Ovis aries: one gene and its partner. The protein of the gene in region 1 interacts with the protein of each later gene in a pairwise test. Links are inferred from orthologs where the notes say so. Each region holds a gene or a part of one and is shown in the gene's direction. Other genes may lie near its edges.

Region 1 (3,804 bases):
GTTTGAGATGATTTGGCAGCAACTCTTTTGAAAAAAAAAAAAGATTGGTAGAATTCACCAGTAAAGACATCTGGGCTTTCTTTGTTGGAAGTTTTAAAATCACTAACTCAAACCCTTTACTTGTTATAGGGCTATTCAGATGTCCTATCTCTTCTGCAGTTAGTGTTTTGCAAGGAATTTTTCCATTTCATCTAGGTTATCAAATTTAATGGCATCCAATTGTTCATAGAGTTCCCTTGTAATCCTTTCTCTTTCCCTAAGACCGGTAGTAATGTCCCCTTTTTCTTTCCTGATTTTAGTGATTTGAGTATTCTTCCTCTTTTTCATAGTCAATCTAGCCAAGAATTTGGCAATTTTGTCGATCTTTAAAAAAAAAAAAAAAACAACTTCCGGCATGCTGATTTTTCTCTACTGTTCTATTTTATTTTCTCCACTGTAATCTTTTTTCATTTTCCTCTCATTCCAAAGTATAATTTCTCTTGTGATTCTTCTTCCACCCATTATTTATGAGTGTGTGTTGTTTAATTTCCATTTATCAATACTTGTGAGTTCCTCATAATTTCTTTCTGCGTTTGATTCCTAATTTCATTCTACTGAGGTCTTTGAGGTCAGAAAGCACACTTTGTTTTCATATCCTTTAGGGTCTGTCCTTGACCATATGAAGAATGTTTCATTCCACTTGAGAAGAATGTGTGTTCTGCTGTTGCGTGTTATGCCCTATAGATGTCTGTTAGGTTTGGTTGGTTTATGGTGTTGTTCAAGTCTTCTGTCTCTTTGCCGATCTACTTTCTAGTTTTCAATTCATTCTTTCTTTTTGAGGGGAGAGGAAGGGTGCTGTGCCACGCGGCATGTGGGATCTTAGTTCCCTGACCCAGGGACTGAATCTGGGCCCTCGGCAGTAAAAGCACAGAGTCCTAGCCCCTGGACTGCCAGGGAATTCCCAATTCTGTTAGTTTTTGATACATATGTTTTGAAGCTCTATTAGGTGCATATATATTTATGATTGTTGTAATCTTCCCAATGACTTGAGTCGGTTTTGGTCACTTTTTTTCATTGTTCTCATTGAGGGGTGGAATTTGGGGGTTTCCAACTCCTCCATTTTGCTGATATCACCTTAATACAGTATTTATCATGGTATTTATCCAGAGCAGTTGTGCAAGAAATGTGAGGTTGTTCCCATTTTACAATGGAGGAAGCTTGTTCTCTTTTCTTTGTGTATTACTTTAGCAGCTGTGAAAGAAAACCAAAATATCTGGTTGAAGCAGGATAGTTTATTGCTGACATAAACATCTCAAGTATAGCAGGTCAGAGGCCCCAGGGTTCTGGAGGCTCAGTTATTAAGTCACAAGTTTGGCTGCTGTAACAAAAAAGACACAAAGTAGCAGTGTTGGGCTTTTTAAATATTTATTTGGCTGCACTGGGTCTTCCTTGTGACATGTAGGGTCTTTAGTTACTGTACTCAGGATATTTTTAGCTGTGGCATGTGTTTAGGCAAACTCTTAGTTGCAGCATGGAGGATCTTACTTCCCTGACCAGGGATCGAACTCAAGCCCAGAATCTTAGCCACTGGAGCACCAGGGAAGTCCCCAAAGTAGCATAAACAAGGTGGAAAACGTTCTCCTTCTCACATGTAAAGTACCTGAAAGTGGTTGGAATTGAGTATGGCAGCTTCACAGGGTTGAGAATTCAATATTCTTTTATCTTGTGTCCTTCATCTCATAGTTCAAGATGGCTGCCCTGGCTTTGGCCATCAACATCATGGGGAGAAAGGGAAGTATGCTCCCTACTTTCTTTTATTAAAGGCATGAATTGGAAATGGCCTACATTATTCCCACTCATATTCCATTGGCCAGAACTTAGTCACATGAGCTTGCCCAGCTGCAAGGGCACCTGGGAAATGTAGTCTTTGGCTGGGCAGTCATGTGCCAGGCTAACTCTTCTATAAATGTGGAAGACAGGAGAGTGGAGATCCTGTCACATGCAGCCTTCCTGAGCCAGTTTTTTTGACAGGGGTCACAAAGCATTTTATGATGATATAAGGTAGCTATGATCAGCAGCTGCACGGCATCATGGTTTAAAACAATGGTTCGGAGTATAAATTCTGACAAGGGCACCTCACATACCATGTACCTGGGAATACAAAGGACATCTCCTCTCTGGGCCTCATTTGCCTCCCTTGCAAAATGCGCCAAAATAACCTCAAGAGGTGCGGTTGTGGGGAATAAATGGGAAAACGTGGGTAAGTGCGTGACTTGGTGCATAGTGAGTGCTTATATTTGGAAAGTGGGTTATCTTTAGAATTCTCCACTGCCTGGAGAGAAAGACAGGGCATGTGTTTTAACAGTTTATCTTATTTATGTCTCGGGACCCAAAGGCATTTATCTCAGGTTAAGAACATCCCCCTTCTCCCACATGTCTGAGCAACCCCCAACCCCCCACTCCCTCCTGGATCCTACTTATTTTTCTTCCCATCCACTAAGCAGAAAAAGAGTCTGCCCCCTGGCTTAATGGAGCAAGAACACCGAGAATCAAAGAGGCGCAGCCCTGGCCCCCAATTCCACCAGCTATTCCAGGGCAGAAGCCAGGTGTAAAGCCAGTTTTAAGACTTTCTCTTGGGGTTGGGGTTTGCTCCCCTACACCCTCTGACCTCTGGCTGTCTCTGGTTCTTCCCCAGAGTGGGGTCAACAGTGGATTGGTGCGCGCCAAGGATTCCATCACCAGTTTGAAGGAGAAGACCACCCGGGTTAACCAGCACGTGCAGACGCTGCAGGTGTGAGGGCCACCCCGCTCCCCGCCAACACCTCCTCTTCTTCCGGGGCCACGTTCCCCTTCTTTGAGCTATCCTCCAGCTCAATGCACCCATAGCCCAGCTGGGGGAGACTGAGGCTCAGAAGGGAAAGGGATGTTCCCACCTCTCCTCCCCATGGTGTGTCCCCTGGAGGCGCTGGCTAACCCCTCCTCCCTTCCATGCTCCAGAGTGAGTGCTCTGTGCTGAGTGAGAATTTAGAGAGAAGGCGGCAAGAGGCGGAAGAACTAGAAGGGTACTGCAGTCAACTCAAGGTGAGCTGCTGAGGGGCAGGAGCGGGGCGGAAAGAAGGGAGCAGGAGTAGGAAGAGGGTGAGAGGAAATGGGGAGGAGTGGAGTGGTCGACAGGAGAGAGATGGGGGCAAGCGGACAGGGAGCGTGGGAGAGGTCCGAGGACAAACCCGCCCTTTAGCCAAGTGAACCAAGGGTGGAGACAGTCCTTGCACAAGAAGTGGGCACGTCTCGGCTGAGGGGGGTGGAACCTGCATGGAAAATAACAAGGATAAGGGTTGGGAGACGGAACCGGAATGGGAAGGCAGGGCCCCTGCCCTGGTGTCCTGACCCAGGAGAACTGCCGGAAGGTGACCCGGTCGGTGGAAGACGCTGAAATAAAAACCAACGTCCTGAAGCAGAATTCTGCTCTGCTGGAGGTAAGGCGGAGGGGGTCTAAAGGTTTGAGGAAGTTACTCAAGTATGTGAGGTACTCGAGGTGGACTTCGGGTAGGACTTCCCGCCCTACCAACCACCACCACCACCACCGCCGCCACCACCACCACCACCACCACCACCACCACCGCCACCCCCCTGCTCCTTTGTGTTCATGGTCATACTTCTCCACGCACAGTCATATTCAGGTCCCAGGGAGAGGAATTCATGTCAGACTTGGAGTGGGTGGGAATGCCTGTCCTGCCCACACGCCCACTGATTTCCCAACAGAATGTTGGGAAAGCTTCAGTTGTTCTTTCTAAACAGGAGGGACTGGAGTTTGAGGCCTATCGA
Region 2 (4,277 bases), on another chromosome or scaffold:
GGCAGCTCGCCGTGGACCCCAGCCCTGCTGGTGGACCGGTCCCTGAGCCCCTGCCCACCTCTCCAGGCTCCGCTGAGGGGCCGCAGCCTCCACACACGAAGCCTCTGGCGGCCACTGCCCGGACAGGCAGGCGAGGGCCCAAGATGGAGCAGTCCTGGGGGTGGGGTCACAAGCCTGCACCGTGGGGGAGCGGGATTCCAGGGTGCACAGGGCCAGCGCGGATGCATTCGCCCCAGGAGGCTTGCAAACTCCCCCTCGGGTCAGCAGTGATCATGGGGGCCTGGGGGCAAGGCTGCGGGGAGGGGCCTCGGGAAGGAGCAAAAGCTGTGTGTTTCCCAGGCGGGGGCACAGGTCAGAGGGGGCGGGTGGCCACCTGAACCCACCCAGCGCGGAGCAGGCCCCACTGCGAGGCCTTCCCGAGGTGGCCTGGGGCACGGTCGATCCTTTGAGCCGCCCCACTGCCCCAGACAGGCTCAGCCCCCGCAGCGATCCCCGGGACCCTCGGTGGGGCCTCTGGGCCAGCCGTGCGCCTCCCGCCCCGCACGCTCTCACCACCTGGCCCTGCAGACCCTCAGTGGCACCTCTGTCCCCATCCTCCACGGGGTCTGACCTCAGCCCTCAGCCTCCGCGAGTCCACAGCTGTGTGTGCCCGCCACGGCCCAGCCACAGGGCACTCACACCCTGGGTGATGCTGAGCCACCTTGGGCCCTGGGAAGGCAGGGCCCACTCCGGTCACCCGGGGCCTGAGGCCAACCCTCAAAGCTCCAAGGGCAGCGTCCCAGAGCCTGCGGTCTGGCACTCATAGGCCTGCAGCCAGGAGCACCCTGAAGCCCGTCCAGTCTGACCCCGCCCCGGGGGCTCCGGCAGTCCAGCACGCACGTTCTGGGCAGGGCCCCTGCGGCTCGCCCGAGTCTGCAGGCCTGACGTCCCTGGAGAACCAGAGGCCACAGCGTCCTGGGCGAGGGAGGGCGTGGGGAGCAGGCACCGCAGCAAAGGGCAACCCCAACAGAGTCCTGGGGGCGAGGGAGACAGGCAGGGAGGGCGCCTGGCCTGGGGGGCCTCGCGGCTGGCCCCTCTATAGTTCCACTGGTTCCTACCGAAGCCCCCAGGAGACTGCAGGCATCGGGCAGGTCCCTGCCGCTGGCCTCGGGGCCCGGCTGCCCTGCCCGGGGCCTTCCGCATGGACCTCCTGCAGGGAGCTCTGTGCGCCCGCCCGGGCGTGTGTGCGTGCTCCCCTCCCAGCAGCTGGCGAGCCCCGCTGAACCCCGGCACGGGGCTTCTGGGTCACCGCCACCCACCCAGACACAGGACGCCCCCTCCTCCGAGCACCCGTCCTGGAGACAGGCCGCGAGGGCGCGTGAACACGACTTGCGCCCACAGGGGCCTCGGCGCCCGGGCAAGAACAGAGCAGGCGGACGCCGTTTCCAGATGCAGAGACAGTCTAAGGCGCGAAGGTGGCACGCCTGCCCAGGATCCCGGTGCTCACAGAGGCCCAAGTGACGGAATTCAGGGCGCCCTCCCCAGCCCCCAGCCCCCGCCTCGGGCCCCGCCCACTGTGTGCACGCCCCACCGGCCTGCCCCCGCCAGCCGCCTGTTGCCCGGTCACAGGCTCTGGCCGCCCTTGGCTACGTGCTCCCGCAGGACCTGTCTTAAAGCGGGGCTCGGTCCCAGCGGCTCCTGCAGCCCCCGCCCCCCGCCCCTCTCCTCCACGTCCCGACCCCCGCCCCTCTCCTCCACGTCCCGACCCCGGTGCCGGGGCCCATCCATTCCCACAACGCCCACCTCCCCCAGGCCCTTCCCTGCCTGCACCTCAACTCTTCTTGCCCTCGGAACGCCAGCCCACCAGGGCTCCAGGCCACGGGGCTGGGCACTCACAGAGTCCGAGCTGCCCTCCACCCTAGCCAGCCACCTTCGTCCCCCGGGATCCAGGCGGCCCCTCCCAGGCCCGGCCCAGAGGTGGTGCTCATCCCACCTCAAGGCAGTGGCGGGGAGGCAGCCCTCCCTGGAGGGACAGGATCCGCTGCAGGGGCCTGGCACGCTGGCTGGACCTGGGCGGCCCCAGCCTGACTCAGCCCAGGGTGGCACGGCGAGCCCGCAGCAGTCCTGGGCGCCGGCTTCCTCTCTTCCGGCGGGCCGCAGGGCTCTGCCAGCCCAGTCAGCCTTCCAGGGCTCCGGGGCCCGTCCCCCACCCAGTTCCCACCCTGGGCAGCCTGGCTTTGTGACTTCACAGGCTGAAGTCACGCGGGGACAATGCTGGGCGTTCCACACCTCCAGGTGCAGGCCCAGCCTGGCCAGACGGCTCCCCGCAGCGCAGTCGAGGACGATGTCCGCTGGCCCGCGTGGGGGGGGGATGTAGAGGGCGGCGGCGCGGGCCGCTCCGGGCGCCATGGACGATGCCGCGGTCCTGAGGAAGAAGGGCTACATCGTGGGCATCAACCTGGGAAAGGGCTCCTATGCCAAGGTCAAGTCCGCCTACTCCGAGCGCCTCAAGTTCAACGTGGCGGTCAAGATCATCGACCGCAGGAAGACGCCCGCCGACTTCGTGGAGAGGTTCCTGCCCCGGGAGATGGACATCCTGGCGACCGTCAACCACCGCTCCATCATCAAGACCTACGAGATCTTCGAGACGTCCGACGGCCGCATCTACATTGTGATGGAGCTCGGCGTGCAGGGTGACCTCCTCGAGTTCATCAAGTGCCGGGGGGCCCTGCACGAGGACGTGGCACGCAGGATGTTCCGGCAGCTGTCCTCGGCCGTCAAGTACTGCCACGACCTGGACGTCGTCCACCGCGACCTCAAGTGCGAGAACCTCCTCCTCGACAAGGACTTCAACATCAAGCTGTCCGACTTCGGATTCTCCAAGCGCTGCCTGCGGGACGGCAGTGGCCGGCTGACGCTGAGCAAGACCTTCTGCGGGTCGGCGGCGTACGCGGCCCCCGAGGTGCTGCAGGGCATCCCCTACCAGCCCAAGGTGTACGACATCTGGAGCCTGGGCGTGATCCTCTACATCATGGTCTGCGGCTCCATGCCGTACGACGACTCCGACGTCAAGAAGATGCTGCGCATCCAGAAGGAGCACCGCGTGGACTTCCCGCGCTCCAAGCACCTGACGGGCGAGTGCAAGGACCTCATCTACCGGATCCTGCAGCCGGATGTCACCCGGCGCCTGCACATCGACGAGATCCTCAGCCATGCGTGGCTGCAGCCCCCCAAGCCCAAGGCCATGCCCTCCGCCTCCTTCAAGCGGGAGGGCGAGGGCAAGTACCGGGCTGACTGCAAGCTGGACCCGCGGCCTGAGCACCGGCCCGACCACAAACTGGGGGCCAAGACCCAGCACCGGCTGCTCGTGGTGCCCGAGACCGAGGACCGTGTGGAGGAGCGGCTGGCCGAAGCCTCCAGGGGCAAGGACCCCCACGTCTCCGGGGCCGAGGTGGGGAAGGCAAGCACCGAGCGGTGCTGAGGGCCCGGGGGGCATGCGTGGCGCCGCGCGGCCCCGGGGGCTGAGTGGGCGGTAGGAGCCGAAGAAGCCACAGGTGCAAGAACGAGTAAAGTCCGTCAATTAAACCGCTATTTTGATTACGTTCTATTAGCTTCCTTCCACTTAGTAGCAGAGACCTTAAACCCTGACCACCAAATAAACCACAGTGAACAGCAGAGAGGTGCGCGGAGTCTTTTTCTCTGGGACTCAGCACCCACTCCCTGCGGCCAGGGGGCTCCGGGGAGCCGGCCTTGTGGGCATGGAGTCCGCGGCCTCCCACCAGGCCCCCGCTGCCCTCCCACCCCGCTCGCGCCCCTCAGGCAGCCCGTCCTCAACGCCCGCCCGCCCTTTGGCCCTTCAGAACTTCTGGCGGCCCCCCTCCCGCCCCCTGCTCTGCCTCTCACTCGGGCCCCCCCAGACCTCCAACCCCACTTTCTGGGGCTCTCTCAGGCCCACGCCCACCCTTCCCTACTGGGACGAAGCATTAAAAGCAGCCCTTTCCTGACCCCATGGCCCCAGCCCCGCGCCCTTGGTGCCCAGCCAGGGCTCAACGTGGAGGAGCGCAGACCAGCTGGACCCCAGGGAGTCCGAGGGCGGCCTGCTGGGGCCTGACTGCTCCCAGCATGACGGGCTCCAGTCTAAGCGGACCCCATGTGACCCCATGCTGCCTCTCTGAGCACGACCTGACCCCACCTGAGGCTTAAAGAGCCCGCCAGGACCCAGCCCACTTCCTGGGGAGCTGGCCCCAGCAGAGGAGCGAGGGGGCGGGGTCAGCCCTGCCCCGGCTGGAAGTCAGGCG

Evidence for each region.
Region 2: the proteins of TSKS (region 1) and TSSK2 interact in binary tests that used the Homo sapiens proteins (3 or more experiments, as listed by UniProt). The link is inferred for Ovis aries from reciprocal best matches to the Homo sapiens genes TSKS and TSSK2.

What each region holds. Positions count from the first base shown.
Region 1 is NC_056067.1:55,855,795-55,859,598, reverse strand, and holds part of TSKS (testis-specific serine kinase substrate), read left to right. Parts: intron 1-2,483; exon of another isoform or gene 2,484-2,507; coding exon of another isoform or gene 2,508-2,585; intron 2,586-2,674; coding exon 2,675-2,770; intron 2,771-2,976; coding exon 2,977-3,060; intron 3,061-3,344; coding exon of another isoform or gene 3,345-3,371; coding exon 3,372-3,455; intron 3,456-3,804. UniProt on the Homo sapiens protein: May play a role in testicular physiology, most probably in the process of spermatogenesis or spermatid development.
Region 2 is NC_056070.1:72,624,895-72,629,171, forward strand, and holds TSSK2 (testis-specific serine/threonine-protein kinase 2), read left to right. Parts: upstream 1-1,372; 5' UTR 1,373-2,386; coding exon 2,387-3,460; 3' UTR 3,461-3,476; downstream 3,477-4,277.